Astyanax mexicanus: one gene and its partner. The protein of the gene in region 2 interacts with the protein of the main gene of each other region in a biochemical or structural test. Links are inferred from orthologs where the notes say so. Each region holds a gene or a part of one and is shown on either strand. Other genes may lie near its edges. The genes, in order: top3b and tdrd3.

What was found.
Region 1: the proteins of tdrd3 (region 2) and top3b form a complex in vitro, tested with the Homo sapiens proteins (2 studies listed by BioGRID and IntAct, with this or other methods). The link is inferred for Astyanax mexicanus from reciprocal best matches to the Homo sapiens genes TDRD3 and TOP3B.

Annotation. Positions count from the first base shown.
Region 1 is NC_064429.1:30,940,796-30,951,349, reverse strand, and holds the start of top3b (DNA topoisomerase 3-beta-1), read right to left. Parts: upstream 4,913-10,554; 5' UTR 4,738-4,912; coding exon 4,668-4,737; intron 1-4,667. UniProt on the Homo sapiens protein: Releases the supercoiling and torsional tension of DNA introduced during the DNA replication and transcription by transiently cleaving and rejoining one strand of the DNA duplex.
Region 2 is NC_064423.1:31,789,676-31,800,835, forward strand, and holds the start of tdrd3 (tudor domain-containing protein 3), read right to left. Parts: upstream 4,960-11,160; 5' UTR 4,811-4,959; coding exon 4,773-4,810; intron 2,228-4,772; coding exon 2,140-2,227; intron 1,762-2,139; coding exon 1,696-1,761; intron 1,391-1,695; coding exon 1,230-1,390; intron 1-1,229. Other genes in the region: uncharacterized protein zgc:194981, read right to left, coding at 7,633-7,716, 7,815-7,928, 8,420-8,617. UniProt on the Homo sapiens protein: Scaffolding protein that specifically recognizes and binds dimethylarginine-containing proteins. Plays a role in the regulation of translation of target mRNAs by binding Arg/Gly-rich motifs (GAR) in dimethylarginine-containing proteins.

The DNA of each region.
Region 1 (10,554 bases), on a different chromosome or scaffold from region 2:
AGTAGAGAAGTAAATGAAGGGGTGAATAAGTGAAAGTGCAGCAGGAGGACGATTAGGAATCTGCTTATGCATCCTTCCCATCCATTCACATTTTATCCATCCCCACCTCCCTCACTTACTCCCTTCCTCTACTCTAAACTCAAGAGGTGAATGACGATGGCTGGTGGTTGCTGGTTGACTAGTGACGGCCATGTCACCCAAGGTCGTGCTTTCATTTGCACATGAGGGATAATTGCGAGGGGTGGGGGGCTGTGACATGACGTATTGGTACTGGGGTAACAGAGCGACGCCATATGCCCCCACTCTTCAGCTCAGGTGAATAAATACAGGCTCAGGAGAAGGAGGAGGACACCTCACCAGCTTCATCCACCAGCTGCCCTCCTGCCTGCTCATTACCTGCTCCACCGCTATCTGCAGCTACACTACCCAACAGTATGCAACAGCTACAGGTCAGTCTTTCGCAGAGTGCTCCCTCTGGGTGCCTGAGGTACTGAGGTAATGGAAATTAGTGTTTTTTTTATGATCTTTATATGCACTAAATTTAACTTAGGGTTAAACTTCAAACTGCTGTATTCTCCAGGACGGGACACTGACACCTCTGGTCCAGAAGATGGGGTTACAGATTATGATTAAAAATATGTAGACATCTAAAATTAGTTATGAGAACTTAATTAAGAGAAAGTGTTATAAATACATAAATACAATTTGGTATGCAGGATAGTTTAGATTTAAATTGAACTTTCAAGGTGCTTTAGACCCTTCAAACTTTTTTTTTTTTTTTTTTACTCCAGCACAAGGTCCCCGCAGACCTCTCTCTGCGCTACTACTGCTTGTCAGAGTGCTGTGACATACAATGCAGGAGTGTGGGAGAGAGCAGACAGAGAGAGCCAAAAAAAAACTGCTGCTTTAAGTTCATTTTTATACTGTACTCACATGAATGGAGACAAAAAGGAGTTCTCAGCATCACATATTAGGCTTCAAATTTCATCAATTTCAGTTTGCACAAGTAACTACCTCTATACAAACTGTATGTTAGGGTAGTAATCATAGCTGAGTAAATTGGCTTTAGATGTCATAGAAATCTGACTTGAGTAGCACAGAGATCAATTTCTACTGAGGTAAACTTGTGACTAAATTGTACTGCTGGGATAAATATATAATAAAATAGCCTGCCACTATGATCAGGAGATCGCTGGTTTAAATCCAGTTCATGTAGCTTGCCATAGTCTTGTGTTGTGCCCTGAGAGAGCACAACTGGCTTTGCTCTCTCTTGGTGTGTACAGTAGTTGGTGCTCTTTCCCCTCATCACTTCAAAGGGTGATGTTGTTTAGCACAAGGCTGCATCTGTGAGCTGATGTATCAGAACCAAGTCAATGCGCTTTCCTCTGAACGCCATGTGATGCTACTCGGCAATGCTGACACATTTAGGCAGTTCAGTTTTAGGCTGTTTTAGAACATTGTGGAAAAACTGACAAATATAATGAAAGTCAAATGTTGCATTTTGTTCAATTTTAATTTTGGTGTTTTTATGGCATCACTTAAAGAACTTGATGTGATATTATTATCAAAAGCTGTGCCTATAAGGTTAAAGCTAAGGTAACGTTAATGATTGAACACCTATCTCAGGCTAAATGTTAGCCAAAAAATGAATACCAACAGAATGATATATAATTTTATGATTATGAAATCTAGGAATTATTGTTATCTGCAACCTCACAGTGTTTCTTTTTTTGTCTCTCTCTCTCTCTCTCTCTCTCTCTCTCTTTCTCTCTCTCTTTCTCTCTCTCTCAGCTCCTGGGTTTTCTCACCCTGACTCTTCTGGTGTTAAACCCGAGTCAGTGCAGTCCCATCGGGGAACAGTGTGCAATGCAGCCGGGCTTCTCCTCCATCAGTATCGTCAATCTGAACAGTCTGGAGAAATACGATGCTGAAGTTACCTACCAGCCCAACAGACTCAATGAGCGCAGCCTGGCTGCATGGGAATATGTGTGAGTATTAGAATTACAGTCTGACTTTATTAGCTGCTAGCTATGCATTTTTAATCTTATCCCTAAAACATACTGGTTAATAAATTCTGTAACATAATTATAGATACAGTAGCTTGTACAACCACTTTTAGAGTAGGGATGCACAGAATATAGTAAATAGTGAGCAGTGCAACACTAGTGCACTTTCCCTCCAGTTTCACCCACTCGAACACAGTTCCACTGCTTCACAGATCAATGCTGTAGGCATTACACACTCTAGCCAACGCCTGGCTCATGGTTCATGTTTATCTGCTCTAGAGATTCTATTCTATCGTCAGCATCTCAAAAGTGTATGTCTGTGTGAGCAATTTGCGCATCTTAAAGTAGCTGAATCACTAGAGGTGATTGGTCCCCTATAGTGGTCCCTGTCCTGTCACTCATTTGTTTTATGCACAGAAAAATATTCTGTAAAATTGGGAAGCAAATTTTATGGAGCTAATTTTGTGCTGAATGTTTTACTCAAAAATATTTTAAAATTAAAATAGTAGATTATATATATATATATATATACATATATATATATATATATGTATATATATATATATATATATATATGAGCAAAAAATGAAGCAGAAGACATTATCTGCAAATTCCACAAAAACACAAAAATAAAAGCAAAAACTGTCAAAATTCAAACACAAATAACTTTCAAATGACTGCAAAGACTAATAAAGTAACCAATTATATTTAGAAATATATTTTTATGTTTTGAATTTGCAGAATACACTTTTTAATTTATTTTTTTATGTAAATCTTTTGGCACAAAATTAACTCCATAGATTTTTTAAAATAAGTGTTTGAACATGATGTGACTGATGAAATAATACTTGGCCCCTCTATAAATATTGTGGCCCCAGAAAAATCCAAGATCCACCATAGAGCTGAATGCATTCACTAGAAGGAGTGTCCACAAACTATTGGACATACAGTATAATGCAGTATAAAACACTCTGACTGCTTCTACTGTTTTGTGTTTTTGATTTATAGGGAAGTGAATACAGACGTGAACCGGGTGCCTCAGGTCATCTATGAAGCTCGATGCCTCACAACTCACTCCTGTAACGGGGTGGACAGCACGTCCAGCGTGGAGAGCGTCCCCCTGTCTTTTAGAATGCCTGTTCTCCGGAAGCACACAGGATGCCCGTTCTACTCCATTGAGTTTGAGTCAATTACCGTTGCCTGTATATGTGCCACATCCAGAAAAAACTAGCCTAATAAAAACTGCCTGTTAGCTTATTATTACTTATTATAATTATTTATTATTTATAGTTACTATTAGACATTTCTGTTGCTGTTCATGTTCCCTGCACCAACAACCAGCTGTTTCAGATCTACCTATTTATTTTCACAATCAACACCATCCGGAATGCTTGTGTCAGTTCAGTGATACCCTGCAGAAAGCTTGAAAATATTAATGAATAAAGAGTTTATTACAAATTCTTAATAAGATTTATTTATTTTTTTTGTACTTTTTTTCCCATAACTATCAAGAATCTATAAAGAAATGTTTATACTACTAGAACTACATAAGCCTGTCAGATTAACTTTTTGTCTTGACAATATATTGTTCAAGAGATAATTGTGATAAATTAAATAAAAATAATAGCATGACAATGTAAAAAGAGCTATTAACTTTTAAATGTCAAACAATGCTAAAAAAATGTGTAAATCAAATTAACTAAAAAAATGAGTATTGTAAAAATGATATATTTTTTTAAAAAGAGGAGGTTATTTTAGCAAACAACTGGTTAATTTTTTCTTTAGAGAAATTACAGATGAAGCCAGAGAGCGGTAAGTACTGTTTTCTACACCTTCAAAAAACTCAGGGAGACGTCTGGCTGACCCACATGGAAACAGCTTTAGACTTTAGCTCTGATTAACATGACTGGACTAAGTTGAATTAGAGGTCTGACAGGTAAAGAGCAGTAATTAGGTCATTGATAAGATGAGGAAAAAAAAACATAAATAAACTATATTGCCCGTTAGGGGTGGGCGATATGGCTCTAAAATAATATCACGATATTTCAGGGTATTTTTGCGATAACGATATACTTGGAGATATAGGAAAACAGAAAAATAATTAATTCATTTCAGGAATATAGTATATAAGAGTATAACAGAATAATCATAATGTGGTAAAATAAATAATATAGCATAAAATAATATAATTCAGCAAATAATATTGCAGAACATTTAGTGCATGCATATAAACTGCAAACTAAAACAATTATACAATAAATAACGTTACACCTAAAGCTTCACAGTAAATAATAGACTACTTTTAAGACACAGAATATCACGATATTTTTGTATCACAATATATTGTACATTATATAATATTGCCCGTAAATGTATAATTTAGTAAAACGTATTTAGAAAAGAGGGTAACGTTAAGTTAGCTAGCTAACTAGAGAAGTTATAGCTGGCAAGCTAACTTAGTTAAAAACTAGGAATACTAGCTAGTTAAATAACTTTAAATAAATCTGTTAAACCATGTTCAAACAAAGCTTAGTCCGCTTTCTGGAAGATTCTGGTGTCTTCCCGCTGTAGAAAACCCTTCCTGTGAGTAAAATACTGAATAATTAACGTTATCTAACCTATCTATAATAACTGCGATAGCTCTATGTTATATTTCTTTACCTTTAGAAAGGATCTTGGCTATTGACTGAGCCAGGGAGGGCTTCTCAGCCACCATCAGTACCGTCCTCATCTCTGCGCTGCTGCTGCTGCTTTTCCCGCGTAATTATATAATTATTGTTAATTGAACACAACCAGCTGCTTTCTCCCAAAAATAATAAACTATATTAATATAATAAACATTCTCTACAAAGAGCCAAACTGCAGCCTAGTGACGCCCAGAGCAAGACTTTCAACATCCGGGTTACGGCGTAACAAAATAAAAGTTTTAGTGAGTTGTTTAAATTACACATTACATTTTTTTTGTTTTTAATAGTAGTAGTAGGAGTAGTATGTATGAATGTAGACCACTGAAGAGACTGAAGGATGGGAATGGATTTTTTTTTCTTTCATTGTGAATATGTAAGGACAAATGTTTTAAAAATGTATATAATTACATTATTTGTTGAACTATTTTTTTTTCCATTTTTTTATAATAATAATAATAATAATAATAATAATAATAATTAATGTATTGGTAGAATGAGTATGTACAAATGACTAATTTACAAAAAACAATTAAATTGTTTATTATTTTATCATTCCTATTTCTCTTCAGGTTGTGTATGTATTTGCAAAACTATAATAATAATAATAATAATAATAATAATAAAGTTTTAAAAGGTTAAACCCTTTCAGACTTGAATTATGATTAAGTGATGGAAAAATGTAAGTATGCTATTTTTTGCCTGTGATAAACCCAAAAGAAGTCTCTAATATCCTCAAATAAACTGTATTTAAATATTAAACCCAATTAACTAAATATTTTATTGCTTTTTTAATGCCTTTTGCACTGGAGTCCTGTGCTTAACATTTTATTTGATATGTGAAAATGATAAACCGTTTATTTTAAAAACCATCCCTAATCCTAAATAAAAAGAGCTATAAATCACATAAAATAATCAAAGACAGAGCTGTCATGCCATAATGTCTGCGTGTTTCTTTTGTGCAGTTGGCTACTGTTTAATTGTCTTATAAACTTTTTTTATTGGCTGGTTGATGGTCTATACGGATGAACAATATGTCTCAATTAGTGTTGTGTGCAACAAAACATCTTTAAAATATGTAATGTCCATTGTAATGGTCGCAAAGTTTTTTGAGAATTATCCATGCAATGATATTTTGTAAAATATTTTAATATTATATTATTATTTATAAAGGCTCATCAGGGGCCAATCAAACCGCTTTATACGGAGAGTGGCGGTGGCGGGTTGCCGCCGATAGGTGGCAGCACGGTACCGGTCTCAGCGCTGACTGCATATCCTCTCAGAAACCTGAACAGCGGAGTGTCGGCAAACCACGGGTACCACAGCAAAACACAACACATAAAAAACACATAAACTACATATTTAATTCAATTTAACACACTTATTTTACCTTAAACACCTTACACTAATTTTCCTGCCGCTCTGTGTGGCTTAAGGTGGCTTTTAACTTGGTAAATGGCGTTGGTAAAAGGCTAATCTGAGATACTTAGCTAAACAAACAGTAACTATACTCTCTAGGTTAGCTAGCTAGTCAGCTAACGTTAACTGTTATTTTTAGATAAAACAAGTAAATTGCTAAATTACACTGAATTTATCTATTTTAATATTGAATTTAAGTTTCTATTATTACCTATACGACAGGTAAAACAGTTTAAAACTAAACATATCTGCACAAACTTATAAAACTCGTGAAATCCGTGGTTGTATCGTTAGCCTAATTTAGCTTAAATTGCTAATGAGGTTCCAGCTAGTAGTTTAATTTGTTAACTTTTAGTGTTATCTGATTTAGGCATACTTACCTTTTTACTGCTTTTAAATGCACTTCAGTCAATAATCTTAAGTTATTTCCAGATATTCAGTAATTAATTATTTTTGTGTTCTGTATTTTAGCTAATAAAAGGCTCATAAAGTAGGCCTGTATATCAGAAAATGAAATGACTCAAGTAGAAGAAATATAAATTAGTTATATAGTTTTTTAGAAACAGGAAACACAATACAGGGAAAAAATAGTATCTACAATAAATACCTAATTAAATATTAGTGATGCACAAAATTGGAAATTTGAAATATACAGCTCTGCAAAAAAAAAAAAAAAAAAAAGAGGGGTTTCTTTGATTTTACCAAATTAAAAATCTCTGGAATATAATTAAGAGGAAGATGGATGATCACAGTCCTCTAACCAAGCTGAACTGCTTGAATTTTTGCACCAGGAGTAAAGGCAAAAGTTATCCAAAAGCAGTGTGTAAGACTGGTGGAGGAGAACATGCCAAGATGCATGAAAACTGTGATTAAAAACAAGGGTTAATCCACCAAATATTGATTTCTGAACTCTTAAAACTTTATGAATATGAACTTGTTTTCTTTGCATTATTTGAGGTCTGAAAGCTCTGCATCTTTTTTTGTTAATTTGACCATTTCTCATTTTCTGCAAATAAATGCTCTAAATGACTATTTTTTATTTGGAATTTGGGGGAAATGTTGTCTGCAGTTTATAGAATAAAACAACAATGATCATTATACTTAAACATATAAATATGAACAGTTAAATGGGAGAAACTGATTCAAAAACTGAAGTGGTATCTTATTTTTTTTCTAGAGCTGTAACTACAGTACCAGTCAAAACCGTGGACACCTCTTCTCTCGTTCAATGTGTTTTCTTGCTTTTTATTTATTTCTCACATTGTAGATTAATATTAAAGACATGAAAACAATTAAGGGACACATATAGAATTATGTAGTAAACAATAAAAAGGTGTTATTACTCCACATTAATCCCCTGATCTAAACCTGATGATCAGCGATGGTGATTTGAGGTGATTGAGTTGAGATGAGCTGGAGCTTCACAGCGTGAAGGAAAAGCAGCAACTATTGTTCAGCACCTCCAGGAACTCCTTCCTTCAAGGTGCTGAGAAAACTATTCCAGGTGATTCTCCCTCATGAAGAAACTGAGATTAAAATACCAAGGGTGCGCAGATCTGAACTCAAAGATAAATATAAATAAATATGTAGTCTTCAGTATTAAATTTACAAAGTAAAAAAATCATAAAAAGTAAGAAAACGCATTGAATGAAAAGAGGTGTGTCCAAACTGTTGACTGGTACACTAAAAAAATTATACTATTTTGAAAATACAGAAATTTATATCAGATTCTCCTGATCCAACATGAAATGATAAAAATGCACTCTGTATATTAAAGATTAGTAACATAAATTATATCAGGCAGATACTGTATATTCTGCCTCTAATTTACATGTATCATGAAAAGTAGTAAATTTTCAGCATAATGAGTATGATATAATTTGTTTGAATGTCATTGGACATCCTGCTCTACTGTGCATGCACACATTGCAAAATTACTGCTGAAATTATATATAGCTCTGGAAATAACTAAGAGACCACTTCAGTTTCTGAATCAGTTTCTCTGATTTAGTTTTTATAGTCATATGTTTGAGTAAAATTACCATTGTGGTTTTATTCTATTAACTATGTACAACATTTCTCCCAAATTTCAAATAAAAAAGTCGTTTAGAGCATTTATTTACAGAAAATGGGAAATGGTTGAAATAACAAAAAGATGCAGAGCTTTCAGTCCTTAAATAATGCAAAGAAAACAAGTTTTAAGAGTACAGAAATCAATATTTAATGGAATAACACTGGTTTTAATCACAGTTTTCGTGCATCTTGGCATCATGTTCTCCTCCACCAGTCTTACACACTGCTTTTGGATAACTTTATGCCTTCACTCCTGGTGCAAAAATTCAAGCGGTCCAGCTTGGTTTGATGGCTTGTGATCATCCATCTTGATCTTTATTATATTCCAGAGGATTTTAATTTGGTAAAATCAAAGAAACTCATCATTTTTAAGTGGTCTCTTAAATTTTTACAGAGCTGTATGAGTTGTCCAGCCCTTCTAAATACTGTAAAGAACTGCACTGAAGCTTTTAAATACATTCAGCATGTGTAAGCTACAGCAAAGCAGTACAGGTGCTTTCATTGTTACATAATGAAATTTGAATTTGAATAATAGTAAGGATTCATCTTAATTGTTTCAATGTTTAAATTAGTAAAATATTGATTGTTTTTGTCTGAGATATATAGTATTTGATGTAAAAGTATTATCATTCTGAAAACACAGTAAAGGACAAGCCAATAAGAAAATCGTCTTATAGTTATTTACGTTAATTGAAGTTCAGACTGTGAAAGACAGAAATAAAAACTAGAAGTCTTAAAATATGGATAAGATTTTTTTTTTAAAGATTTTTGCTAAATAAAAATAAAATAATGAAAATAATAAAACAATTTACACTTTTCTTTTATTATTTTCGAATTCTGCCTTATATGGCAAGACAAAGCATTATACTGACCTTGCTGAACCAACAAACTGCTTGACTGCTACACTTTTAAAATAAAATAATATAGTAAAGAAGAACATTTAAACCTTGTAAAATGTTAATGTGTTAAGCTTCTCTACCAATTTAAAGCAGTGAGAAAGAGAAGGAGAAAGAAAGAGAGAGAAAGAGCACGGTGGTGGAGGTGGAGGTGAGTCATGGTTAGTGTAAGTGACTGATCTATGGCCTGCGGTTCATCAGTATTCCACGCTGATGCGCAACTCATACACACCTCACACACCACAGAGACAGTGCGAGAGCATCCTCAGCACAGGTGGGCTCAGTGCTCTGAAATGAACAGGGATGAGTGTGTGGAAACGAAAAAGAGAGGATCTGAAAAATAGATAAATAACAGAATTACACAATTAGAAATCAAAGCAATACCCAGCTGTCACATGACTGTGTGTGTGTGTGTGTGTGTGAGAATAATAGGACCTGTGTAGCGGAAAATATGCTTTGTCAGAGGTATCCAAACGACGACAGACGGAGGCAACAGAACTACCTCTCTCTCTCTCTCTCTCTCTCTCTCCCTCTCCTTTTCTCTCTCTCTCTCTCCTTCTTTTCATTTCCCTCTGCATTATCCTTCCTTTTCTTATATCTCACTCTTTCCACACTATCTATTTCTTTCTTTCATTCATATTTTTCATCAGCTGCTTTTTCTCTATTTCTCAGTGTTCTCCTTTTTTTATTTTGTCTGTCTTTCTCAGTGTTTGTTTCTCTTTTATCTCCACATCTCTCTCTTTATCTTCATCTGTCCTCTTTCTATCTTTCATGCTCTCTTTAATGCTCTCTCATGCTCTCTTTCTTTCACACACCATATCTCTGTTCACCCTCTTTTGCTTTTTCTTTTAATTTTTTTACTTTCTCTCATTTTTTCACTACTCTTTTCCTACTGCTCTATCTATTTTGCATTCTTCTTTCTTTTTCATTCACTCTCTCTTTTCTCTCCATTCTCTCCCTCACTCTACCCCTGCCATCTATCTTACTCTCCATTCTCTCCCTCCATTTCTCACCTTTTCTCCACTCGTTTGTTTCTGTCGGTGTCTCTCGGTTTCTCTGCATTCTTTTCCTCACTCTGTCCCACCTCTCTCTCTCTCTCTCTCTCTCTCTCACAGACACGCACACACACTCATTCTACTTATTTGTCCCTCTCTATGTCCCACCTCTCGTTTTTCTGTTTTCTCTGTATTTCTCTTCCCCTAATCTCTCTCGTTCTTTCCTTGTTCTATCTCAACATTCCTTGCCTCATTTTGTCCCTCCCTCTCTCTGCCTCTCTTTCTCTCTCTCTTTCTCTCTCTCTCACTCTGTTTCTCTTAATTCTGTTCCTCTTTCTGTCTCACCTCACCAAGGTTTCTCTCTCTTTCTGTGTAATCTCCTATCTTTGTCTCGCTCTTTATAACTATTTCTTCCCTTTTTCACTCTATCCCTCCTCCATATAATTCTCTAGTTTTCTCTTTCCTTCTCTCCTTCTGCCTC
Region 2 (11,160 bases):
ACGTGGTTCATCAGCCAATTAGACTTAATTACCAGCACTACACTAATGTATTTATACTCTTCAGTCTGACAGGCAGACATTTCTGGCTGGTGGGTAAAAGGGAGCTAATTATACCTTAATTGCTCAGCAAATATAAAAGTCCTTATGAAGTGTGGGGAGCCTGGGGAACTGAAGATGTTTAACTGACAAGACGTTCGTACATGATCTTAAAAGAACTGGTTGATTTTTAATTTCATGCATGATTAATTACGATAATGCTCAGAACCACACTAATTAGATACAAGATAGAGAATGTGGGTGGTCAGCACCATTTGGAATTGTAGCCAGTATTAATATAGTTCCTAAGTGTGTGTGCACAGACATACATATGTACATACATACTTCTAAAATAGAGGCTTTAGGCATCTAAGCATATTATTTAAACAAGAAACAAAGAAGAAAGTAGTTCTTGTGCATTAGTCTGAAAAACAAAGCATACACATTTTAAGATTTCCTGTATGTACAGCCAGTGTCTGAATAGATGTGTTCAATTCCATCACCAGTGCACCCGATTTAACATCAATAAACACTGATTAAACAAACCAGGTGCTGCTGACATGATGATATTTAGTAATAATACTTGACGTCCATGAGCAGAACTTTGGAAATGTTTTATTGAACACATATAAAAAATCACAAATTTTGTATGAATGGTATTTGTGTTATTCTGATTAGTGTTTTACTAAGTATATATTATTAAAATTTTCAAGAGGTGGCAATATGAAGATATTTCATTATATCATGCTAAAATTCAGAAGTGTATCAACTATATATACCTATATAACTATATACTTTTGAGTATATACATTTTGAGGATATCAGGACTTACAGTACACTTTGTTACTTTCATTATTGAGAACATAAGTCCAGTTCAACTGGATGGATGGTGGTATATTTTGAGTAAAATTAATGGTAAATACATTAGAATAGTGTTTTAAAAGATGTATCACTACTAATGCATTTTACTGCAACCACATATATGTAAATAAATATTGTATAGTGTGAAATGGCTTTAAATATTGTGTTACGATAAAGATCTATATATACCATTTATCCAGCCCTTCAACCACAGACACAGATACACACAATCACAACTTTCAAAAGGTCAAAGTAAGTGTAAGACACAACTATCAGATATCCAGGATTTGCTGAAACGGATTATCTCTGGGATTATCTCAGAATGGTTTTACCTGATTTTTGACAGATGTTTAAATTCAAGCCCTGTGCACATGGTCTGCCCATCAGTCATCTGGAGGCGGAGCATTCGAGGTGCAGCCTGTGAGTCTTCATTTTCTTTTGGGGCGGAAACATTTCGAATCCTCTGGATTTGAAGGACACATGGCCCCTCCAACTGTGGAGAAAAAAATCATTATAGTTACTACAATTGTCCTACACAGGAATAATGCTGTTTTTGTGACTGAACAATTCAGACATTTCAGCTGTGTTTACAGTTTGTTTCTAAAACTAGAAAAAGAAGTTAAACAGGTTTCAATTAAAGACATTTATTTCCTGTAATTTTACACAATCAAACAGGGAGGAAAAATAGAGGCTTACACAAATCACCCAGTCTCTTTTAGTGCTTGACTTTATCCTTCCCTAAGAGTGTGCTTATAGAGTCATCCAGTGGCCAACATGTGAAAGTGCCTGTGAAATTACCTTCTCTACTCTGCCACTGTTGATGTCAGCAGGCAGAAAGCTCTTTCCAATAGGCCTCAGATCGCTCTGCAGAAAACAATCATAATGTATGTTTTTGGAAATTACATAATATATAAAAACATTTCCATAACAAACCGTACAGGTACACTTGTCACAATATATCTTGTCATACAATATGATATTTCAGAAATTAGTGGGATAAACAATGTTACTATAAACAGTCTTAAGCTACTAATATAATGATAATACCATAATAATACAATTACACAATACATAAAAAACAGCAAAAATAAAAATGCTTAAATATTCTTATTAAATAAAATACAAAAAAACACTGTTTAAAAACAAAGTCAACAAAGCAACTAATTCATGATAATGGGCTCTATGGCTATGTCCATATAATATTTAAGTTGATAACGGAATTATTGTAACAGGCCTACTTACATTTAATGCTACATTGATGATGTCAGTGACGGTCACTTTCTCTTTCTCCGAGCTTTTGCACTCTTCTATCCCTTCCTCTGTGAGATACCTAAATAAAAACGCATAAATTCAACTCACCAAAATTATATTTATGTATGCTGTGTTGCTAGACAAGGATTAATATCTCTAGGATTTATATATCTCAGAGTTGGGTAATCTGACAATATTTGATCGTATTGTGATACATTTTCTTACCACATTAACAATAAGCTCAGTGCAAATCACTGACCCAACTGTGCATTTAATTAAAGAGCATAGTTAATCCTGTTTAACTGGATGAATCGCAGTAAATATTTGGAAAAAAAAAAAATATATAGAACTTGTCTGAACAGTGTTTTTAAGGATCAGTCATTGACTGCATTGACTGTATTCACATGTATTAAAATAAATATTGATCATATATATATTGTGATGTAAGCTGTACTTTTAATATATTACGCCTGCATACACACAGATTTTTTTTAAGAGATGCTGCAGAAATGACCAATACATCCCCTGAGGCCTAAAGAGGGAGCAAATGAAATATGATATGATATATAAACTCCTAACATGGTTGAAGAAGACCAACATTTATAAAGCCAACAGTGCTAAAGACAGATTCAATGAAGGTTAACAAGTTTACAATTAAGATATATATATATATATATATATATATATAGAGAGAGAGATTTTTTTTTTATTATTTCAACCAGTTTCCAACTAAATGAATACTGAATGAATGCCCTGGACTTACTGTGACCTAGATTAGGTCCATTACTAAACATGCAAGCACAATTAGACAGAAGAACTCACATACTTTCTAATGGCACAAACTGATACGGTGCTAATCTACACTTTGTGTATTAGCATAGCACACAGAGAAAAGAGATATCACTTAATCTTTGCCTGTTGCAGGTGGATGGACTGCATTTTAGATAAGTGCCTTATATAAATTATGAAGAGCCACATTAATTACAGATCTATTTACACTTGCAGATACTTCATGAACAATTCATGAAGAACAGACATTTTGGGTTAATTTAGAAATATTTCCTTGTGTTAAACCGGTACCCCAGTTCTTCATGGGGAAAGGCACCATGCACTAATGTCTGCACTGGTATCTGTAAATAGATTTTTATGACTGGATAGCTATCATGCTTTCGTAAATGTTGTAAGCCTTTGTGTTGTAAGCCTTTGTAATGTTCCAGTTGCTGATACTCATAAGTTTGATGGTGATAAAGTTTGGATGACAGGGATGTTGGTGTCTCTTACATACAAACAACAGACGTGTCAGATGTCTATCTATGCAGTGTGTGATATGAAAGCCAATATGAATATAGCTCTGACTTTAACACAAATCACAGCCCAGGTCACACTTAAAAGGAGTGGCTGTAATGATATACAAAAAACACATTATCAGACACACTCTTTAAAATACGTTCATCAGCTTGGAGTCAGTGTAGGATACTGTTCAGAAAGTTCAGGTGGTGCCATTTAGGTTCATTTTAACAGGATTTACATTTTTGAAAAAAGATTTTAAAGATGGCAAAAATATCTATGTTCACAAAATGGCTCAAATAGGCCAGGGCGATATTGTAAGAATACATAAATACATTTTAAATGAAGGAACAATTCATTGAAACTGTGGGAAAAGTTTGTATCCCTAAATAAATGCAAAAAGACAACAATTGCTTTAACTAATAACACATAAAAAATGAATTTCCAAACACACACTTTAAAATATGCACATCAGCCTGAATGACACAGTGTAGGGTACTGTTCAGAAAGTTCAGGTAGGCCAGGTTCAGTTCAACAAGAATGAAATAAAGATTTTTAAATAAGGAAAAATAAGAAAATTTATGTTCATGAAATGGCTCAAATAGGGCTGGGCGATACTGTAAAATACATAAACAAATAAAAACTAAATGAACTATTAACTAATCTGTGGGAAAGGATTTTGTCCTTAAATATTATTTTTTTTGTACTTCAATACACCACAAAAACAAAAATACAACTTTAAATTGTAATTATAAGCTTTTATTTAGACTCAACCTTTCCCAGCATTAATGCATCACCATAAATCAGCCTGAAATTTAACTAGATAATGTAGCTAAAACCTATTCTGCAGTTATTTGTAGTTAGATGAGTTAGATATTTATTTAGATATCAGAATAGTGAATAAACACTGTGAATCATTATAAAATATGAACTACAGAGTCTGAAACAGATAAACCGCCAGCAGAAGCTGAACACTGTGGTGATACTTAACTAGCTGTTTAGCTAGGTTAGCTTAGCTTAGCTACTCCACAGCTAACGCTAGCTGAATTAAACATTTATTAGGAGCTCAGTAAGCGAATAATATAAATAATTAGCGCTAATTACAGAGTTTAAACAGGTGGTATCTACTGGTCTATAGATGTAAATACATTAATACGGCGTTAATGAACCGTTTTTTCTCAACCAGCAATAAAACACTGATAAACTCTGAAAGCTAGCATAGCTTAGCTAGCTTTAGCCTAGCCTAGCTCAGGTACCCTATTCGAAGCTCCGCCGCTAGCATTAGCTTAGCATCCCGCCAGCCCCAGCAGGCAGGCTAGCCCCGAGCCGCTACCCACCAGCCTTCTCTCCCGAGAGCCGCGCTCAGCTCAGACATCTTCCAGCGCGCGGTTAGACTGCAGCATGTGATTATCTGAGCCGCAGCCGCTTTTCCATGCTTTTCTCTCCGCTCTGCTTCTCTCCGCTCGGCTCTCCGCTAAAAACAGACCAGTCCCAAACTTACTCAGCGTCACAGGTCAGAGTTCAGAGCGGCTACGAGCAAAAACCGCGACCCGCTCCTAGGGCTAGTCGATAAAAGTCGATTTATTTTTTCGATACAGGTACCAATTCCCCCTTATTAATGAATATCTATATCGATTTATTTAACTAGAAGTATTATTTGCATCAGTACTAAATTATAATGACCACAATATGCCCTCTTTTTGGGCAAAAAGCTGGAATTTTGTTACTCTTTATTGCTCTCAAACTGTGGTACTAAATAAATACACAATGAGAAGGTAGAGGGTGTGTCCAGTCTTTTGACTGTTACTATATATACAGCTCTAAAAAAAAATAAGAGACCACTTAAAAATAATACGTTTCTTTGATTTAATCTAATTGAAAAATCGAGCTGAACTGCCTGAATGTTTGCACTGGTAGTGGCATTATGTTATCCAAAAGTAGTGTGTAAGACTGGTGGAGGAGAACATGTCACAAGATGCGTGAAAACTGTGATGAAAAAAAGGGTTTTCCACCAAATATTGATTTCTGATCTCTTAAAACTTTATGAATATGTTACATATAAATTTATAAAAATGTTTGCATTATTTGAGGCCTTAAAGCTCATAATCTTTTTTGTTATTTCAGCTGTTGCTAATTTTCTGCAAATAAATGCTCTAAATGACAATATTTTTATTTGGAATTTGTGAGAAATGTTGTCTAGCAAATCAGAGAATTCAGCGGCTGTACAGAAGTAGAGCTGACCTGCTAAAAGCATAAAAAAAGAAAGACAAAGCTGGTTCTTCTGTTTTTTGTTTATTGCAATTTTGCAACAATGATGGTCTTCAGCTGGCCAACAAAAAGAGTTCAGGCTTTTTATAATGACTCATTTGAAATACTTTAAATACATGAAATACTTAAATAGTAATAAAAACACATTATATCCACAATACATTCCAATACTTCCAACATAACATAAGGCAGGGGTGTCAAACTCATTTTGGCCGAGGGCCACATTGGCATATTGGCTGTCCTCCGAGGGCCAGATGTAACTTATAAATATAAGAAAATGTAACCAAATGTAATATATGTAAATGAATGTAATTACTCCTTAATGTTAAATAACTCTCAATATATTATTTATTCAATCAAATATTACAGTTGCATGGAAAAAATGTTTGCTTGTTGCTCTATTAACATAAATCCTGTTATGAAATCCAAAAACTCCATCAATCAAGAACGAAACTATACAAGTGAATAGAAATGACATAAAATACAAGTTATATTAACTTTGATCAAAACGTTTGATACTGAAAAGAGGCTTAATAAATATAAAATCAAAAATTGTGAGCTGTGACAGATTTAGCATTTCCTCATCCAACCACTAGTGGGAGCTGCAGCAGCACAAGCCCACAGTCTTTACTGAGTCAGAGCTACAGCCCGGCCACGGGCTACAGGGCTCAGCTGAGCCTGTCTGGAGCGTTTTTAAAATTTTAAGTTCTTCTGTGTATGAAATAAAATAACCCCACTAACCGGATAATACAGCTCTCTACAGTTCATATTTCAGCCCAAGCAGCTAACAGCAGCAGTTTAGAGCAGCCATCCCGGAGTCACTGCTCGGATTACATTATAAACAGGTCAGTTAGCGCGCTGCTAACCTCAGGATGTTTATAACTACGGAGTTTAGAACACACCACGGCTGCAAGGTTAGACTGTTGAAGGCTACTGGAGACTATTAAAGGCTATTGGAGGTTATTGAAAGGGTTATTGGGGCAGAAATCAGTAAAGGCTGGTTAGATAAGTGATTCACCTCCTCGTCCTTTGCTGAGGTGAAACTGCGACTAGCGATGTCACAGTGATGTTTATTAACCTCATTAAAACAGATTTTATCAGCTATTGTCTTATAAATATTTACACATAATTTATATCTCTTCTAAAAAGCGTTTATTTTGGTCAGTAACACAAAATGCATACCGGTCTTTCGCCTTGAAGCACAGCCGTCCGTCTGCATCAACTTTTCTTTTTCTGGATATTATGGGATAAACATGTCTCAATTCCACCCGCGAAGTTACACCTTCCCTCCGGCAGGGTTTCCACATCAATGACTACACTGCCGTGTAGTGGCAGTAAGCCGTAACTTTGCGGGTAATACAATCGACAAGCATTGTGGGAAATGTATTTTTTGGTCAAGGAACGCTTCTGACCTATTTATTATAGACACTAAGATTTTACAAGCTCTCGCGGGCCACATAAAAAGACGTGGCGGGCCACATTTGGCCCGCGGGCCTTGTGTTTGACACATGTGACATAAGGTCTACTTAAAGTGACAATCAAACAAGTTTCGGGGATTTGAAGACCTCTCTGGTGAAAAACTGTAATTGCACAAAGCATGGGGAAGAGTACTTTTAATGCAAATGAATAGAAATAAATTGTTGTGTGAAATTCTGCATTTTTTAAATACATTGTTTTGTTTATTTTATTCATTTATAAAATATTGCCAAAATGTAGAGATTACATCAATTACATCCAACAAACCTACCAGGCCACTCTGTGTTTAGAATGAATATATTAGACACTGCAAGGATGGTCATGACTGGAAGATAGAATATTATGTCCCCTCCTACCTCAGAAATATTACTGCTTGTAATTTAAAACAGAATAATCATACTGACTGCTGCTTTAATGTCTGATACTCAGAATAAATTACTGCAAACTTTTTAATCAGACACAGTGGTCTGACAGAAGACGGCTGGGCACCGTGTTCTCTCCTGGAACTGCCAGCACCACGAAGCTGCAGATCATAGTCTGTTAAAAGAGATATACATGAAGTAATTAACAAATTTTAGTTTATTAAAAAAATATAGACACAGGAGAATAGTGATTTATTTGGACAAGATTCTTGCCTGTGCGTTAGTCTTGAGGCTGCAGTCCTCCAGGCTCACTTTTCCATCGTTTCTGCAGTTTGTCTCGGCCACTCGCAGTTTGAGGGTGTATTTAACCCAAGTAGGAGGATAGAGCTAAGAAAAATATACAACAATAGAGGTCAAAACAAATTTTTCCAAATAAGTCCATAAATCACATACCTATTAAAACAGGAGGGCATCAAAGGAAAGTGTGTGAATGTGTGATCAATCCATTAAAATGGATTAAAAAAAAAAAATTCTAACTAAACTTGGACACAAACGAGTCTGTGATATATAACACATGTATACATTTATTAAATTAATATATTTTATTATAGTCACTATAGTTATCTACACTAGGTCATAATATTTGCAGTATTATGGTTTTAAAATTATTTAAAATAATTTATAACAATGTTGTTATTTTTGACTGTGAACACAGAACTAGTTAAGTTAAAAGGTTAAGGGTCACCATGTAAGGGTCACTAACCAATTTCAAATGTTCTTCACTTTCAAAACGTCTTTAAAATAGGTTCAGAACCAAATGGTTCTTCTAAGGATCTACTACCCTTTTCAACAGCTTTAATAGTTTTTAAATAACTTACCTCAGCACTGTCTGACATGATGTCCACTACTTTAAAGGCAGAGGCACAGTTACACATGCGATTGTGGGAGTCGATGGCAAAGCTGACTACTTTGGCTACAGTCGGGTCATGGACCACAACTGGGTCTTGAGTCGAGCTGCTTCCAGACACAACAGAAGACATGAGAACAGCAGCGAGGAGGCTCAGGGTGAATGCCATCTTGCTGGAATGCAGATCTGTGGATATAAATAAGACAAGTGCTCAGCTATGTTTGATACACTGCTGCTATACAGCTATATACAGTGTCCAGTTTAAAGCAGTGAAAAACAGCAAATGAGCACAATCAATGAACAGCAGCAGATTCCCCTCCTAACAGAGGCTGAGGCGGAATATGAGAAGACTCAATGCATCTTACCCTTTTAGTGGTTTCTCTTCTAATGCATCCTATACCTTTTATCTGCTGTGTTTTGAAATAACATACCCTCCCTTATACATTAACTCATTGATGTCCATTTCTAAAGTGTTACAAATACATTTGGTTGATGTGAGATAAAGTATGCAGAGAAATAGAACTACAGTCTGGTATTTGCCCCATTACAGATTTCTTTTGCTTTTTTGTCATACTTAAGACATACAAACTGAAGACAAATATAACCTGATTAAATACAGGTAAAAGAAGAAATCCTGAAGGAAAATGTCCTGCCATCAGTTTGTGGCTTTAAGCTCAGGTGTACTTGGGTTCTGCAGCAGGACAATGCAGCAGAATGCATACAGCATTCTGCCCCTTGTACTTCCTACTCAACTTATTCCTTACCTGCACTTACTCATAGTTATTCTGTCACCTTATGGACTATTTCCTCACTTCCACACACATCTACATAGCATCGTATATTACTTATTCAGTCTTACTTAAAATATTTCTGTGCAATATTTGTCTATAGTGTAAGTTATTATGTGTATTGTTATTGAGTGTACTTTGTATATTGTTTATACTGTAAAGGTATCTGTATATCTGATTTTATATTATATTTTATTTTATTCTTCTTTTTGTAAATATTGTTCTCTGCACACTGGTGGGAATCTGCACCCAAGTTTTTCACTCACATGCACACCTTTACTCTGTGATGTGACAGAAAAATATCTTTAATCTTGAATCTTTAAGCTTAAATGATCCAAACACACCAGCAAGTCCACCTCGGTAAAAAAACAAAATAAAGGCCTTAAACAGGATTTTTTTTTTGTAAAAACGAAGTTATTAGTTTTAAGGGGCAAATACTTTTTCTCTCAAGACATTAAATTAACATTATCAACTGTTTTTTATATTTATATTTGTCTGATGTTAAAATGTGTTTGTTTATCTAAAAAATTTAAGTATGATACAAAATAAAAAACAAAGAAAACTGTAGGGGGGGACTTCACAGCACTGTATATGCATGATCAAACCGGATAAAAAAAATCATGACTGTCATCACAAAGTTGGTCAACCAGCATGACCAGCATTTTCTCAGCATAACCAGCATCAAATGATAGGGTAAGGGGTATAGAGTTTTTTTTTTTGTCAGAATTAGCAATTTTACCATCTTTACCATAAAGGCTTGAACAGTTTTTACCATCTAAAACCATATAGTAGTAAAAGCCAGTCTTGAGCTGGATTTATTAGCAGAGTTATTGAGAATTAAAGGTTTAGTTTGCTGTGAAGGCAGGCTGTAGATGAGATCTGATATAATAACAGTAATGGAGCTCCTTTGCTGCTCTTACTCACCTCCTCCTTCTCTTCCTCCTCTTCCTCAGAGCTGCAGCAGATCCAGCGGTTGAGGGACGCTGCTGTGGGTCAGCGCTGCTGCATTCTGCTGATACAGGTACTCAGTCTGTGGTGGTCTTAGGTTCTGATCAGCAGCTCCGGGGTCTGGTCAGGACTTGTACAGTAAATATCCTTAACCTGACCGATCCCTCCGCTTTGCTTACATTGCTGCTGCTTGCTTTATTCAGCACAGTATCCTGATCACCTGACGGGGGCGTGTCCTTCAGCAGGATCCTGCATCGTTCCAGTCAAAAGTTTGGTCACACCTAAAATTCAGTGTTTTTTTAAACACTGTAAAAATTTTCTGCATTTTAGATTAATACTGAAATCATGAAAAACTATAAATAAAAACGTATGGAAATATTTATTTAACAAAAAAAGTATTAAACTAACCAAAATATGTTTAATATTTTAGATTCTTCAAAGTAGGCAACTCTTGCTAAGATGACACCCAGCTGTTTCAACGTTGAATCAACGTAATTTATAATTGCATAAATATTTAGTAATGCAAAATCAAAAATTAGTCTGCTGAAGAAAGCAAGACTTTAATGAACAAATGAAGTTACACATATCTAGAAACCCAAGGAGATTTTACAATCACGTTTTTACACAAAACCATCATCCACACACCAGTGCAAAGCCACAGCCAATAGCCCACAGCGTACTCTCAACCGAAAACAACCGTCCACCTGGAGGACTGCATCGGGCACTACAGCATTATTTTATTATACATTCACACACACAATCTTACATACATATCTAACACATACATACCAGATCAATTTAAGCCCTATCCGGACGGGATTAGTTTCTCAAGAGGACGTCTGTGAAAAATATTTCCCACTTCTACTCAGTGATAAAACTCTTGCAAATTGCAGACTGCAATTTTAAAAACAGGAGGACCAGTGACTTTTTTATTGGCTTTCCACTTGCTGTTGTGTTTGCGTGGATCTCTGTGGAA